Elephas maximus indicus: one gene and its partner. The main gene of each other region encodes a partner of the protein of the gene in region 2 in a complex. Links are inferred from orthologs where the notes say so. Each region holds a gene or a part of one and is shown on either strand. Other genes may lie near its edges.

Region 1 (7,852 bases), on a different chromosome or scaffold from region 2:
CCCAGGTGCACTTAAAAGACAGGCCTGGCGATTTGCTTCCAAAAAGTTGCAGCTTTGAAAACTCTATGGGGCAGTTCTACTCTGCATGCATGTGAACCAGAATCGGCTCAACAGCAGCAAACAACAACAAAGAAATTTAATTCTACAGATGTATACTGAAGGCAAATGTGGCCCAGCCCTGCCTGTGCCAGTGGGTGGACAGAGATATGAATCAGACATAACCTCAAAGACTTTTAGTCAGTGGGGGAGTCAGACGTTAGGCACAGATACAATTAACTAGAGCACAAAAGAAGATGACCTAAATGGTATTAAAGAACTATGAGCAACACGCTATATACATAAACCTTGATTACTTAATTACTATTCTGAAAAGTGTATCATCTATCTTTTAGTCAGAGCTAAAAGGTATCATCTAGTTCAACCTTTTGTTTTCCACTGGAGTTGTCTGAGATGTGGAGAAGGGTGGGGCCTAACCTAAAGTCTCTCACCAGTCCATTTGGCTGAGCCAAGACTAGAACCAGTTTTTCTGAAGCCCAGTCCAGGGCTCTTTCCACCTCCTCTTGAAGTTCCATGTGCAATAGTCCCATCTCCCATGAGACCGTGTGAACCTCGAAGCAGAGTCAGGTTCTCCCACCCAAGCAAGCTAAGCTAGGACCAGGAGAGCTCAAGGCACCCAGGGATTCAGGATATGCAGCCTGACCACGGGCTGGCAATCCAGCCCTTTGATCTACTGCACCCCAGTGTGCACCCTACTCTTACCAATATGCGTGTAAAATTTATTTTCTTCAAGTATTTTTTTTGCAGGAAACACTTTTTTTTTTTTTTACATGAAGTCTTTACCCAGAGCCAGATCCATTGCCATCAAGTTGATTCTGACTCATGGCCACCCCATGAGTAGCACTGCTCCATAGGTCTTTCTTGACTAATCTTTGTGGAAGCAGGATGTCAGGTCTGTCTTCCACAGCACCAATGGGTGAGTTCAAACCACCAACCTTTAGGTTAGTAGTTGAAAACAAACCCTTTGTGCCACCCAGGGTCCTTTATCCAGGAAAAACCAAGCTTGTTGTTTTCAAGTCAATTTCAACTCCTAGCAACTCTAGAGGAAACCCTGGTGGCATAGCGGCTAAGAGCTATGGCTGCTAACCAAAAGGTTGGCAGTTTGAATTTACCAGATGCTCCTTGGAAACCCTATGGAGCAGTTCTACTCTGTCCTCTAGTGTCCCTATAAGTTGGAATCGACTCAACAACTATGAGTTTGGTAACCCTAGAAGAGGAAGAAGGTCAAAGCCCCACTATTTTCCTGCCCTCATGTCCTGGGAAGGGAACTCTAGGAAGAGAGCTCAAAAATCTTTGTTCTGGAACGTAATTTTTAATGGCTTTAGAGAAGCCATTTTAAGTGTGGTCTTCTGCCAAATCCTGTCTTTTATGGAAACTCACAATCCTGTCTTCGTTCGTCAAACCCGGAGCACCAACCACGTACTCCCACTAGGCTATGGAGGGAATGAGGTTTTCACTTTGTCTCTCCTGTTCTCTCCTTTGCAGAGAGAAGTTGGTCTCAAGTGTTGCTGAACTGAGAAGAGGAACCCAAACTCTGCCTGGGACAGCAGGGGAGGCTTCCTGAGGAGGAGAATCTTGGAGAACTAATTCATCCACTCAGAGTCATTTACCAGCCTAAATCTGATAGCGTATCTAACTTCCCCGTCAGATACCACCAGCCACATGTGCTGTTGAGCAGTTGAAATGTGGCTAGTCCAAATTGAGACATACTGTAAGTGTAAAATACATACCAGATTTCAAAGGTTTAGTACTTCTAATTATTAATTTTTATGTGGATTATATGTTGAATGATAATATTTTTGATATATTGTGTTAAATAAAATATATTACTAGAATTAATTTTACGTGTTTCTTTTTACTTTTTAGCAAATGTCATTATTAAAAGATTTTTTTCTCGGTTCATTTTTTTTTTTCAAATTTTATTTTGTTGTTATTGAGAATATACACAGCAAAACATACACCAATTCAGCAGCTTCTACATGTACAATTTAGTGACATTGATTAACATTTTTCAAGTTGTGCAACTATTCTCATCCTCCTTTTCTGACTTGTTCCTCTCTCTTTAACATAAACTCATTGCCCCCCAAAGGTTCCTAGCTAATCTTTGGAGTTACTCTTGTCAATGTGATCCCATATAGATGTTCTTCAAAGACCACAATGCTCAAGGCAGACCTGTTTTACCAGTTAAGCTAAACTATTGTTTGGTTTTAAGATGAGTTCAGGGATACTTTTGGTTTAAGGTCTAAAAATTATCTCAGGGTGACTAGAAGGACTCCAGTGGTCGTGGCCCCCAGACCTTCTGTTGGCCCAGGACAGGAACCATTCCCGAAGCCAACTCTTCAAACATGGATTGGACTGGACAATGGGTTGGAGAGGGATGCTGGTGAGGAGTGAGCTTCTTGGATCAGGTGGACACTTGAGACTATGTTGGCACCTCCTGCCTAGAGGGGAGATGAGAGGGTAGAGGCAGTTAGAAGCTGGCGCAATGGACACAAAAAGAGAGTGGAGGGAGAGAGCGGGCTATCTCAATAGGGGGAGAGTAATTGGGAGTGTGTAGCAAGGTGTATACGGGTTTTTGTGTGAGAGACTGACTTGATTTGTAAACTTTCACTTAAAGCACAATAAAAATTATTTTAAAAAAATTATCTTAGGGCAATAGTTTCAGGAGTTCATTTACCCTCCCTGGCTCCAGAAAGTCTAGAGTCCATGAAAATTTGAAATTCTGTTCTACATTTCCCCCCTTTTGATCAGGATTCTTCTATAGCTCCGTAATGGTAGCTGGGCACCATCCAGCTCTTCTGGTCTCATGACAAAGGAGGCAGTTGTTCATGGAGGTAATTAGCCACACATTCTGTTATGTTGTTAGGTGCCATCAAGTCGGTTCCAACTTATAGTGACCCCAACCACAACAGAAGGAAACACTGCCCCATCCTGCGCCATCCTCACAATCGTCCTTATGCTTGAGCCCATTGTTGCAGCCACTGTGTCAGTCTATCTCTTTGAGGGTCTTCCTCTTTTTTTGTTGACCCTCTACTTTATCAAGCATTATGTCCTTCTCCAGGGACTGGTCCCTCCTGGTAACATGTCCAAAGTTAACATTCCATATCCTTCTATTCCTGACTGTCCTTCTTCCTCTTTTGCTCCAGGTTAGTAGAGACTAACTGTTGCGCCTTGGATGGCCCCTTGCAAGCTTTTAAGATCCCAGGCACTACTCAAGTTACTAGGAAGTAGAACAGAGGCACTAAACACATTATTAGGCCAATTAACTGGGATGTCCCATAAAACTATGACCCTAAATATCCAAACCAAGGAACCAAATCCCATGAGGTGTTTGGTTGTACACAAACTCAGCAGCTGCTTTTTTTTTTTGTCATTGTCATCATTAGAAAATTTTGAATTACAAATGTGGCTTGCATTCTATTTCTTTTGGACAGCACTGGGAGAGTCAAACGCATGGCAGGGGTGGTTGGGGTATGTGTGTGCTGGAGGGAGGAAAGATGAAGCCAGGCAGGGAGTAGTTTAGTACAGCCAGATTGTGAAAGAATAAGCCGATCTCCCCTGGCCGACTACACAGAAAAGAAGTCAGAGGGAACAGAATGCGCAAAGATCCAAAGATGTGGGCAAGCCCGCTGTGTTTTGAGAACTCATAGTATGACATAAAAAGAAAAAATAAAGAAGCATTTATTGAGTGTTTACTTTGAGCCAGGCACTGACAGTAGGCCTTTTACATCTATTATTTTATCTTTACAACTAACGGGCGAAGGGGACCGTATTCTATTTTACCAAAGAAAGAACTGAGGCTCAGAAAGGTCGAGCTATTTATTCCCGGAGCTCACCCTTTTTTATGTGGAAAACCTCTTGAAGACAGGGCGCCTCTACGGTCTTAAACGCCTGTGAGTTTCTAGAGCACCCAGCATGGGGTTCTGCACGTGGTTGGCGCTGGAAAGTTTGATTTGAACCAAGAATATCAGCTCCAAAGTCAGAGTTCCGTGCAAGGCGTCGGAGCAAAAACACCAGAGGGCGCCCACGAGTCCGCCAGTCCCCCGGGCCCGGACCCCGACCTCCGGCCGCGACCCCGCGGCCTGGGTGCGGCCCTTCAGCCTCTAGCAGCTGCGCGCCCCGGCGGGAAGATGGAGCGCGGGGAGCCCCACGTCCTCTGCCCGCCCCGCCCCCTCCCCAGGGCCCGGCTGAGCCACCGGGTGCGGAACGACGACACGACATCCTGTTTTTGGGCCCGCGGCTCCGCCTGCGCCTCTGCTGATCTTGTCTTTCCCCGTGTGCTGACGCCAGCTCCCCTTCCCCCAGTCTCCGCAACCCCCCCCCACAAAGGGTCTGGGGCCTTCCCACTACTGAATCATCACCACCCCGCAATCCCCCGGGGCTCGGGGCAAAGGTGGGGACTGCCCCAGCGTAACCTATTCTGCCCATTCCCCAGCTGCGGCCATTGCCCGGTCCCTGGGTTTGGCAGAAGTCACCAGGCCTAGGGGCGCCTTTTCTCAGCATCTTCCCGCAACGGGTGGAAGGGACGAGATACAGGCGTGGGGGACAAATGCCTAGCGCCTAGGCTTAGGCCTCTGATGGGACCGGAGCCAAGGAGGAGGCTAGAAGGCCTGACCTTGGCAGGCTTGACTTAAAAGACTCCGGCCAGTGGGCTGAAGGCGGGGAGCCTCGGACCGGGGCGGGGGCGAGGCCGTGGGTGGGGGGCAAGGCTGGGAGAGGGTGAGGCGGTGAGGGCGGGTCGCGGACTTCCTGGTCGTGCCCCGCGCTCCGCCCCCGCGCCCCGCCCCGCCGGCTGGCCCGCCCCCCCCACTTCCTCCGGCCTCCCGCTCTCACTTCCTTCTTGAGCCCGGAGCCGCTGCCGCCGCCTCCCCAGCTCCCCCGCGGTGGGGAGGGCAACAGGTAAGGCTGGGCCCGGGCCGGCGGACTGGGGGACCGGGGGAGGGGAGCCCGGCCAGCGCGGGACGGGGCGCAGGCGCCGGCCCAGGAAGTTTGCTTGCGGGAGGCCGCGGGCGGGAGGTTCTTGGTTCGCTCCAAGTTGGGCGGGCGCGGCCGGTCGGGCGGGGCGGAGACCGGGCCACTGCGAGCCAGCGGCGGCTCGGTCAGAGTGGATTCCCGGCAGCTGTACCGGCTCTCGGGAGCCGGGAGAACCCCCTTAGGCCAGCGTGTCTCTGGCTCAGGGAGGACAGCCTCTGAAGTGGAAGTGCTCAGAGCTAGGATGTGGAACTCAGAGGTGGGGGTGCCCACAGAAGTTGTCGGTGGAGGGCGGTGACCAAGTGTGTGAGGGGAGAGAGTCTCGGGCAATTGTGACATTTGTGAGGTTGAGAGGGGGTAGGTGTCTGGGGCCTGCGAACCCTGGAGACTGCACAGAAAGAGGTCCCGCCCTGGGAGAACGAGGTCACCCCATACCCACACTCTGCAACCAAAAGGACCCGGAGGGAACCCCGCCGACCCCAGTCCTTCTCTCTGTGTGTCTGTTTCTCTGAAGCCCAACCTCCCCATCCCTGGACCCAAGCAACAGGTATTCAGTGAGCAGACATCTGCAGTGCCCAGCTGACCAGTGTCTGGCCTTGCTCTGTGGTGGGTAAACTGAGGAAGGAAAAGGCCTGGTCTTGTCCTGTGGCTGGAGGTGAAAGGACTCTCATTCAGAGATACTGAGAGTTGGACAAGATGGCATAACTGAGATCAGGTCTGTTTTCAGGAAATGGAGAAAATAGGGCTTCTGAGAGGCATCAGGGTCTCTGGCCTTCTGGGAACAATTGGTAGCCATCTACTAGTCTTCCCCCCCCCGCCCCCGCCATTCTTAGTCCCTGAATTCTACCCACTTTCTCATTCTGTCTCCCTCCATCCCTCCTTTAGTCTCCACCCACAAACTGGCCATCACTATCTCCTCTCCTCCCCTCTCCTTCTGTCTTCTTTCCCCCGATCACAGCCCTGACCTCTCCTTAACTACTCTAACCTGCTGTCCATCTCAGTCTCCTGCTGCATCCCCCCCCTCCTTTCGCTATCCGGCTTCTGGCTCCCCACCATCTTGTTCCTTCCATCTCCTCTCATTCTCATAATCTCTCAGTTTGTCACCCTCTCTCTGTCACCTTCCCTTTCACCCACTTCTCTCCAGCTTTGGGGTCAGGATCTACTGTAGAAGACTTGGTGAGTTTGAGAGCCTTTTTGAACCTCCCAGAGACATGCTGCAACCTCTCGGTGATGGAGATGATTAAAGGGCTGGAAAATGTCTGTGTGTGTGTGTGTGTGTGCGCACATGTGCAAGTGTCTCTGTGTCCATATCTTTAACTGGAGACAGCCAAATAACTGCTCTCAGCCTTGAGAGGCCCCAGAGCAGGGGAAGCCAGCAGAATGAAGGGAACCTGCAGTGGATGAGTTGTGGTTAGGCAGGAGGAAGCAGTCCATAGCAGTCAGGGTACAGTAACACAGGAATAAGACTGGTGAGAGAGGCCACAGGAAATCAGAGTCGTCCAGACCCTTGACTGCTTAACCAAGAAGCCAGTCCTGAAGGCTGGGGGACAGTGAGTGGCCTTAGGAGATGAGTCCCTGGCTTCAGCACCTCCTGGTGGGAAGAATAGGATCAGGCCACCTAGGTGCAGTGGAAGAGAGCAAAGGCAGCTGATTTAACTTCAGTCTTAGGTGTTTTCATTTCAGTTCAGGAGAAGAAGATGGGTATGAGGCAAAAGTGTCTGCCCCTCTTCCCTCCTACCTTCCAGAGGCCATCCAGACTGGGCCTTGGTGACCGGGAAGCCCTCTGGAGTTCAGCTCTTGATGCCTTTAGCCATTCTTAATATTCCCTCTATCACCTAGGACCCTACTCCCTCTCTTTTGTGAATTTCTTCCAAGTCTAATTTTAGCCTAGCCTGGCTCTATAAGCTCTTTTTGTTTCCATTCTAGAGCTCCTTTCTCAGGCCTTTGGGATGTATGCTAAGGGTTCCTGCTTCTCTCAAGCTCCTCCAGTCTGCTCTACTCCTATCCGCTAGAAAAAAGAGAAGTAGAGGGGAGCAGGCACTACTTTTTTGGGTTCCCAGGCACAGATAAATGTAAGGCTCTCCCCATTCCTTATCCCATTCTCTTCCCTTCTCACAGTTGTCCCTTTCCCATGAGTTGTTCCTTCTTCCAGTCCTGCTCTTCCACCTACCTGTCTCTCCTACTCTCATTTCTGGGAGGTGCAGGGAGTTTGGCCCCAGGAGGAAATCCCAGGGAGGGGCTAGCCTTGCATAAAATTCCAGCCCTGGGAAGGATGTGCATGAAAGACACTTTCTCGACATCAGGATTCAGTTTAAAAAAAAAAAACTACCCAAGAGTTGTGACACACACGAGTTCAGCATTTTACATAATTGAGCAACTCATGGGACTCTGAGGGTGAAGATAGAATGGATGAGTTCTCCCAGTCAAGATCTGGCAGTACTAGAGGATTGTTAATTGCAAGAAAATCATTACTGGAAAAATACAACAGGGATGAGGAGAATCTAATTGGGAAAATATCATGGGGGAGTCGGGGGGAGCGTTGCCTACAACCTAGGAGATAGCTGTTGAGGTCTTGACTAAAGAAATACTGTCAAGGTCATGGCATGAAAAGAAATGGCTGATGTGAAGTTGTTACAGATCCTGATTGGGAATCTGGGACAACAGGGGTTGCTTCTGGCAAAGTGTTAGGGCAGAAGCGGCTGGTGTAAACTTTTAGGGGCTTATGAGCCAGAAGGTATAAGAGGTTGTAGTAGCTGGGGTACTGGGAAGCAGAGGGAACCCTGACAGTGAATTCAGCTTAATGAGGTAGGAACAACTCCAAAAA
Region 2 (7,135 bases):
CATATCGGGGTGAATGAGGGGGAAAAACTGCATTTAATTCACCACAGAAATTATGTCATCTACTCTAAAAAGCCACTCCAACATCAAGGACAAGCAGTTACTGAATGTACACTATACACCCTGTATACCTCCTGAGTGACAGGGACACAACCATCACCTTCTGATTTTGAGAACCCAAATACAGGAGGATCAGCACAAAATAAGGTATGGAGTAACGCAGGATTGTAAAGAAGAGGTGTGGAGGTTTGGGAAGCTGTGGCAGACAGCAAATTTGGGGGAGGCAGTGGGAACAGATTTGAGCGCTATGGGAAGGCTGCACTGTGGGGTGCAGAGGTGGGAGGGCATTCTGGGCAGGGAACAAGCACTGTCAGAGCAAAGTCCTGAAGGAGGGACTCTCCGTGATGTATTGCACAAGAGTGAGAAGAGCAGTTTGTCTGCATTGGAGGCTTAACGTAAGAAGCCATGGGAGATAAGGATGGTGATGATATGTTGAATCAGACCTGTTGGAACACTGGAACTTGGGCTCAGTTTAGACTTTACCCTGTAGGGCATGGAAAGCTTCTGAGCAGAGAGGTGATATGAACAATCATGTGTTTTAGGAATAAACAATGAAGATTTATCTCTTGAGTTAATCTGTCCTAAGTGTTGGCCCTTGTACCAAATGTAAAGGATCAGAATCTTTATGTTTTGCTAAATGTGTCCCAAATTACATCCTGGGGCAACTGTGCTACCACCTATGTCCTGAAAAGGCTACTGAAATATTTTTCTTGACTAATGATAAATAACATGGAAAACTAACTCCAGGAAAGGAAAAAAAAAAGTTAAAAAGAAAAACTATCGTACTTGCTCCTATGACTATGGCAATACAACCAACCACATTTTGGGGATACATTTACATTAATTGTGCCCAAGTCATAATACTTTTGAACACAGTTTTTATTCAGTTAAACAAAACTTAGATTTGATAACTTTTCTGCAATTCGTACTTAGTGATTATCAGTTTTCTGACTCAGGGAGACCCCATGTGTGTCAGAGTAAAACTGTGCTCCATAGAGTTTTCAATGGCTGGTTTTTTGGAAGTAGATCGCCAGGCCTTTCTTCTGAGGAGACTCTGGGTGGACTTGAACCTCCAACCTTTCAGTTAGTAGCCTAGCTAACCATGGGCACTACCCAGGGGCTCCCTTTAATGGCTACAGAGCTCAAATCACCTAGAGATCTTAAGAGTTATCTCTGAAATAAACTTAGATGTGGAAAAGCTCAGAATTGGTTTAGGGGCTCCTCCCTAGATATTCCAGGAAAAATGGGGGTTAGAGACAGAATGAAGTAAAAGAAATTACAAATAGGCCAAAAGAATGAACATGAGAGGAAGTAATAAAATTCTCAACATACACAGCTATGTTTATATTAGGGAATCACTCTGACCTCTATCACTGCCATTGCAATCTCCCCCGCTAATGGCACAGTTCCCCCCACAAGACCTCAACAAAGCATCTCTTTGATTTAAAAAAAAAAAAAAAAGGTGGAAAACCAAAAACCAAACCCGTCGTCGAGTCAACTGGACTCATTGCGACGGTATACGACAGGGTAGAACTGTCCCATAGGGCTTCCAAGGGTGTAATCTTTAAGGAAGCAGAATCCCACTGCCACAACTTTCTTCCGCGGAGCGACTCGTGGGTTCCAACTGTTGATCTTTTGGTTACCAGCCCAACGCTTAACCGCTGCGCCACCGGGTCTACTTAAAAAGGGGAAGGAGCATGGCTTTTCACCTGCGTCAGAAGCCTGCAAAGCCATTTGTCCCTGTGCCAAACCAACACAACAGGAATCCCTCCGCACATGCTAGGGCTCTCCAGCACCGCCATTAGGAATGCCAAGTGCCTAGCTCCGGACCTGTCACAGAGTTTTCTGAATAAACTTTCCTCATCTTACCCCACGATGAAAAAGAGGATTCTGAAGACCACTTTATACCGTCTCCACACAAGCTCCGTTAGGGGAGGAGTGTCTGCACAAACGGCCCCAGAGGCCAGCCACCCCTTCCCAAGCCACACACTTCCTCTCATCGCTTCAAACCACAAATTCAGTTTTCCACTCAGCTTACAGACTGTTAGCAAGATTCCAGTGCTCAGCACTCTGTCCCAGGGAAAAGCGGGGGAAGGGGAGGAGGCGTGTTTCTATCCTCCAGTCTCACTTTGAGGCCTCCGAGAGGAACCTATGAAGAAGGAAGTCGGAAAGCACTGGGAAACGACTAGCATTCCCATTCGGCGGACCTCGGCTGCTTACAAACATTGAATGAAACCAAACGGATGGGCGGAAGGAGGGGAGCAACAGAGCTGGGCTTCCCAAATGAATAGCAGGCGGGTTCCCTCACTTTTGACGCGTCTACTATGCAACACGATAAATCTTATTTGGGAGCGGATTATCAGTCCCGAAGCCCAAATGCACATTTAGCCGCTCAGGTTCCAAAAACTCCGAGTTACTTCCCCACCGGGGCGGCAACTGACCCCTCCCGGGAGAGGGCCCCGAGCCCGCCCCGCTCCCAGTAACGGCGGCAGCCCGAGTTCAGCCCCGCAGGCACCCGCGAGGGCCGCAGATCCCGAGCCCGGGGCCCGGCACGGCGCCGGCGGCGCGCTCTGCAAATCGCCGGACTCCACCGCCCGACTCGCCCGCGGGCAGGGCCAGTCCCCGCGAACTTTGCAGCGACCGCTGCAGACCTGCGAAGCTGGCCGGGTCGGGGGGCGGGGTAGGCCGAGCACTCACCAACTCCGTATTTCTGCCTCTTGGTCGGGATCCAGCGGGCCATGGCGGCGACCTCGCCCCGCGGCGGCACCGGTTGCGGCGGCTACAGCTCCTCCGGCGCCGGCCGCCGCCGCCCCGCGCTGCTCCGCGCCCCGGGCTCTTCCGCCATGTTCCGTCAAACTTCGCTGCGACCCCTGCAAGCCGTCTTCCGCGGCTCTGCGCGCCGCCCGCGCCGAGACTGGACCCGCTCCGCCGCCGGTCCCACCCGGCCCGCGCCCGCGCCCGCGCCGCCCGCGGTCACCTGCTGGGCCGGGCGGCCGCGCCGCCCTGCGCCCTCGAGGCACCGCCCCGGCTCCTCCTGCCCGCCGCCCCACCCCGCGCCGCGCCCTTAGCTCCCGAGGCAGCCTGCCCGCCGGCTCAGGGACTCCCGGCTCGCCCACGCCGGGCGTGCTCGTTCGGCCCTGCGCGCTTTCTGGGAGCAGTTTCCCAGGGCTGACTCTGGGGTATGGCTTTTTTCTTTTTTTTTTTTTCCCCCCGCCTTCCCCACACCGGATTAAACCCAAGAGACTGGATCCGGTGGGGCGAGTTCCCCGCTGGAGGCGCCCAGCACACTCGGGCCGGGCTGCGGGGCACCGGTGGGCGAGGAGTGGGAGTCTGCGCCCACTGTGCGCTCCGGAGCCTTTTGGGGCGGGCGGGGGCGGGGAACAGAATGAATTAATAGAGGTTGTGTCTCGCCCCGGAGGGAACTCCCCAGTGCTTGGCGCTTGGCACTTGCCCGGCGCTCAATAAATATTTGTTGAATAAATGAGCAGTTGACTACTGCGTTCATCCCCTAGAGCTTTAACAGACACCACGCGAGCCGGAAGCCAGCCGGACTCCGGGGCAGACATTATCTCCTGTGGCCACCGTTTATAGCCTCTCAAAGCTGGGACATTTGTCTTCTGGTAAGTAGAGAGCTGGTGCGAGGGAGACGGGCTCCTCATTAGTATCAAATAGTTTCCTGATGGGTCCTCTGTGGGGGAATTATTTAGAAAGCCGTAGTTTCTAAGTCCTGTATCCCGTAAAACGCCGGAATACCTCTCCAGCTGAAGAAATTCATTCACTCTTGCTCAGGGAAAAAAGGATCTGCCCCAAGACTCCCTTTTCCTGGGAGCCAGCAGTCCAGAGAGCATCCCTGCGGAGAAAGGGACCGGGCACATTGATGTCTTTTTCTGGTTCACTGACTGTATTGACAAGAAATCGAAAACTGGGACTGCGCATTTGAACTGCCTCGGGTTCCAATTGGAGCCCTCTCTGGAACTCCCCTTTTTGAAACTCACTGGGAGAGACTTCAGCAAATGAAGGCACAGGAGTTCAGGGGGCTTCTTGCTATCTCACGCGGTGGAAGTATAATCTCAAACAGAGTAAATGACAAGCTTAATTATGTTCACCATCTGAGAAAATGCCTTTTGAAAGAAATTGCATTACCCTTGCAGTCTGTGAAGGTTTTCTTCCGTGTTTGAGCATGAAAGGAAAGAAAGATAAAATAATCATGCAGCGAAATATAGTAAAAACTTGTTTGAAGAATAAGTGCATTATAATTCTGATAACTTTCTGCAAAGCCAGGTCTAAAAAAAAAACCCTGTTTAAGGTGGGTAGTTCTCAGGGCTTACTTTCTTCTGCATCACCCAACAAGTATTTATTCACAAAATAGAATCAGAAACTTAATATAAGAGATTCCCCTGTCATTCAGGCTTGACATCCAAAAGGTATTCCATCTCCCTGAAAATAAAATTTCTTTTCCTCTATCAATGATAACATGAGTAACCTGATTTCCCAGGTTAAAGAATTCATTTCTTCATTCGTCCCTTCCACTAATGTTTATTAAGTGCCTGCTAGATACCAGGCATTGTTTTAAGAATGGGGGTACGTCAGTGAATAAAGTAAAATCCCTGCCATCATAGAGCTTACATTCTAGAACTGAAGAGTGAGACAACAAATATATACCAGGTAGTGATAAGGTCTATGGAGAAAAATCCAAAGCAAGGCAGATGGAATGTGTAGGGCGTGCTGCTATCCTATATAGAGTGATCTGGGAAGGCGTCTCTAAGATGACATTGAAGTATAGACCTGAAGAAGTGAGGACTTCAGGGGAAAGAATTACGGACAGTGGGGATAACAAATATAAAGGCCCTGATGCGTGTTCAGCAATTTCCAAAGATAGCCAGGGATTCGGTGTGGTGAGAGCAGAGTAAGGGGAAGAACATGGGAGAGACATGGTCCAGAGGCAATGGGTGTTCAGATAAATAAGGACTTTATATATTACTGTGAGATGGGAAGTTTGGAGGATGTTGAATCAACAAGGACGTGATCTAATTTGCCTGCTGTGTGATGAATAGACTAAAGGGGTGAGGAAAAGCAGGAAGACCAGATGGAAAGCTACTTATTAGTTCAGGCAAAAAATGAAGGGATATTGCAGCTCTGTTTACAATAGCAAAAAGCTGGAAGCAACCAAGATGTCCATCAACGGATGAATGGGTAAATAAATTGTGGTATATTCACACAATGGAATACTACGCATCGATAAAGAACAGTGACAAATCTCTGAAACATTTCATAACATGGAGGAATCTGGAAGGCATTATGCTGAGCGAAATGAGCCAGAGGCAAAAGGACAAATATTGTATAAGACCACTATTATAAGATCTTGAGAAATAGAAAAAACTGAGAAGAACACATACTTTTGTGGTTACAAAGGGGGGAGGGAGGGAGAGAGGGAGAGGGTTTTTTATTGATCAATTAGTAGATAAGAACTGCTTTGGGTGAAGGGAAAGACAACACTCAATACAAGGAAGGTCAGCCTAATTGGACTGGACTAAAAGCAAAGAGGTTTCCGGGATAAAATGAATGCTTCAAAGGTCAGCGGAGCAGGGGCTGGGGTCTGGGGAACATGGTTTGAGGGGACTTCTAAGTCAATGGGCAAAATAATTCTATTATGTAAACATTCTGCATCCCACTTTGAAATGTGGCATCTGGGGTCCTAAATGCCAACAAGCGGCCATCTAAGATACATCAATTGGTCTCAACCCACCTGGAGCAAAGGCAAAGGAAGAACACCAAGGTCACACGACAACTAAGAACCCAAGAGACAGAAAGGGCCACATGAACCAGAGACCTACATTATCCTGAGACCAGAAGAACTAGTTGGTGCCCGGCCACAGTCGATGTCTGCCCTGTCAGGGAGCACAACAGACAACTCCTGAGGGAGCAGGAGACCAATGGGATACAGACCCCAAATTCTCATAAAAAGACCATACTTAATGGTCTGACTGCGACTAGAGGAATCCCGGAGGCAATGCTCCCCAGACCTTCTGATGGCACAGGACAGGAACCATCCCCGAAGACAACTCATCAGACATGAAAAGGACTGGTCAGCGGGGGGGGAGAGAGATGCTGATGAAGAGTGAGCTAATTAAATAAGGTGGACACTGGAGAGTGTGTTGGCAACTCTTGACTGGAGGGGGGTGGGAAGATAGAGAGGGAAGACGGCAAAATTGGCACGAAACGAGAGACTGAAAGGGCTGACTCAATAGGGGGAGAGCAAGTGGGAGAAGGAAGTAAGATGTATGTAAACTTACATGTGACAGACTGATTGGAATGGTAAATGTTCACTTGAAGCTTAATAAAAATTAATTAAAAAAAATGAAGGGAGTTGGGACCAGGATGGTGGAAGTGGGAGTGGTGAAAAGAGGCTGGGTTCTTGACATAAAACTGAAGGTAGAACCAACAGGTGTGGGGTGTGGGTAGAGGATTTACTATGAGGCTAATAAAGCTTGAGTGTCAGGGCCTCTCAGTGTGCTTTCTTAAAAACAGTTTTTGTAAAATTTCTAAAAAAGGATATGTTTGTATTCTTTATTATTTTTTTAGAGAGCTCTACCCCCATTATATAAGCTTCAGTCCCCACAAACTTTGGCCCTTGCCCCTGAGTATAGCTAAAAGAGGGGTCAAGGATGACTTCAGGATATTGGGCCTGAGTTCCTGGCAAATCATTGTTAGTTGCAGTCATGGCAACTTTATGTACAACAGAATGAAGAATTGCCTGGTCCTGCACCATCATCATGATCTTTGGTATGCTTGAGTCCATTATTATGGCCACTCTGTATTTAGAATGCCTTCTCTTCTAGGGGGCTCATCTTCCACCACTGCATCGGACAGTATTCTGTTATATGGCTAATTTTCAGAAGCACATAGTCAGAATTTTCTCCCTACTCTTAGTTCGGAAGATCCGCTGAAACCTGTCCACCATGGGTGACCCTGTTAATTGAAATGTCGGTGGCATAACCTCCAGTATCATAGCAACACACAAGCCACCACAGTACAGCAAACAGACAGAACTGGTGAATAGAGTTGCCATTTTCTTGGT

Evidence for each region.
Region 1: the proteins of DOCK5 (region 2) and RHOG are in contact, whole or in part, in a cryo-EM structure (PDB 8XM7), measured with the Homo sapiens proteins. The link is inferred for Elephas maximus indicus from reciprocal best matches to the Homo sapiens genes DOCK5 and RHOG. Residues at the interface, in NP_079216.4 of Homo sapiens: Val232, Phe345, Asn393, His394, Lys395, Gly396, Trp400; in NP_001656.2 of Homo sapiens: Ala121, Pro123, Leu126, Arg127, Arg128, Lys130.

Annotation. Positions count from the first base shown.
Region 1 is NC_064825.1:53,151,918-53,159,769, reverse strand, and holds the start of RHOG (rho-related GTP-binding protein RhoG), read left to right. Parts: upstream 1-4,852; 5' UTR 4,853-4,956; intron 4,957-7,852.
Region 2 is NC_064840.1:48,552,095-48,559,229, forward strand, and holds the start of DOCK5 (dedicator of cytokinesis protein 5), read right to left. Parts: upstream 3,016-7,135; 5' UTR 2,798-3,015; coding exon 2,755-2,797; intron 1-2,754. UniProt on the Homo sapiens protein: Guanine nucleotide exchange factor (GEF) for Rho and Rac. GEF proteins activate small GTPases by exchanging bound GDP for free GTP. Along with DOCK1, mediates CRK/CRKL regulation of epithelial and endothelial cell spreading and migration on type IV collagen.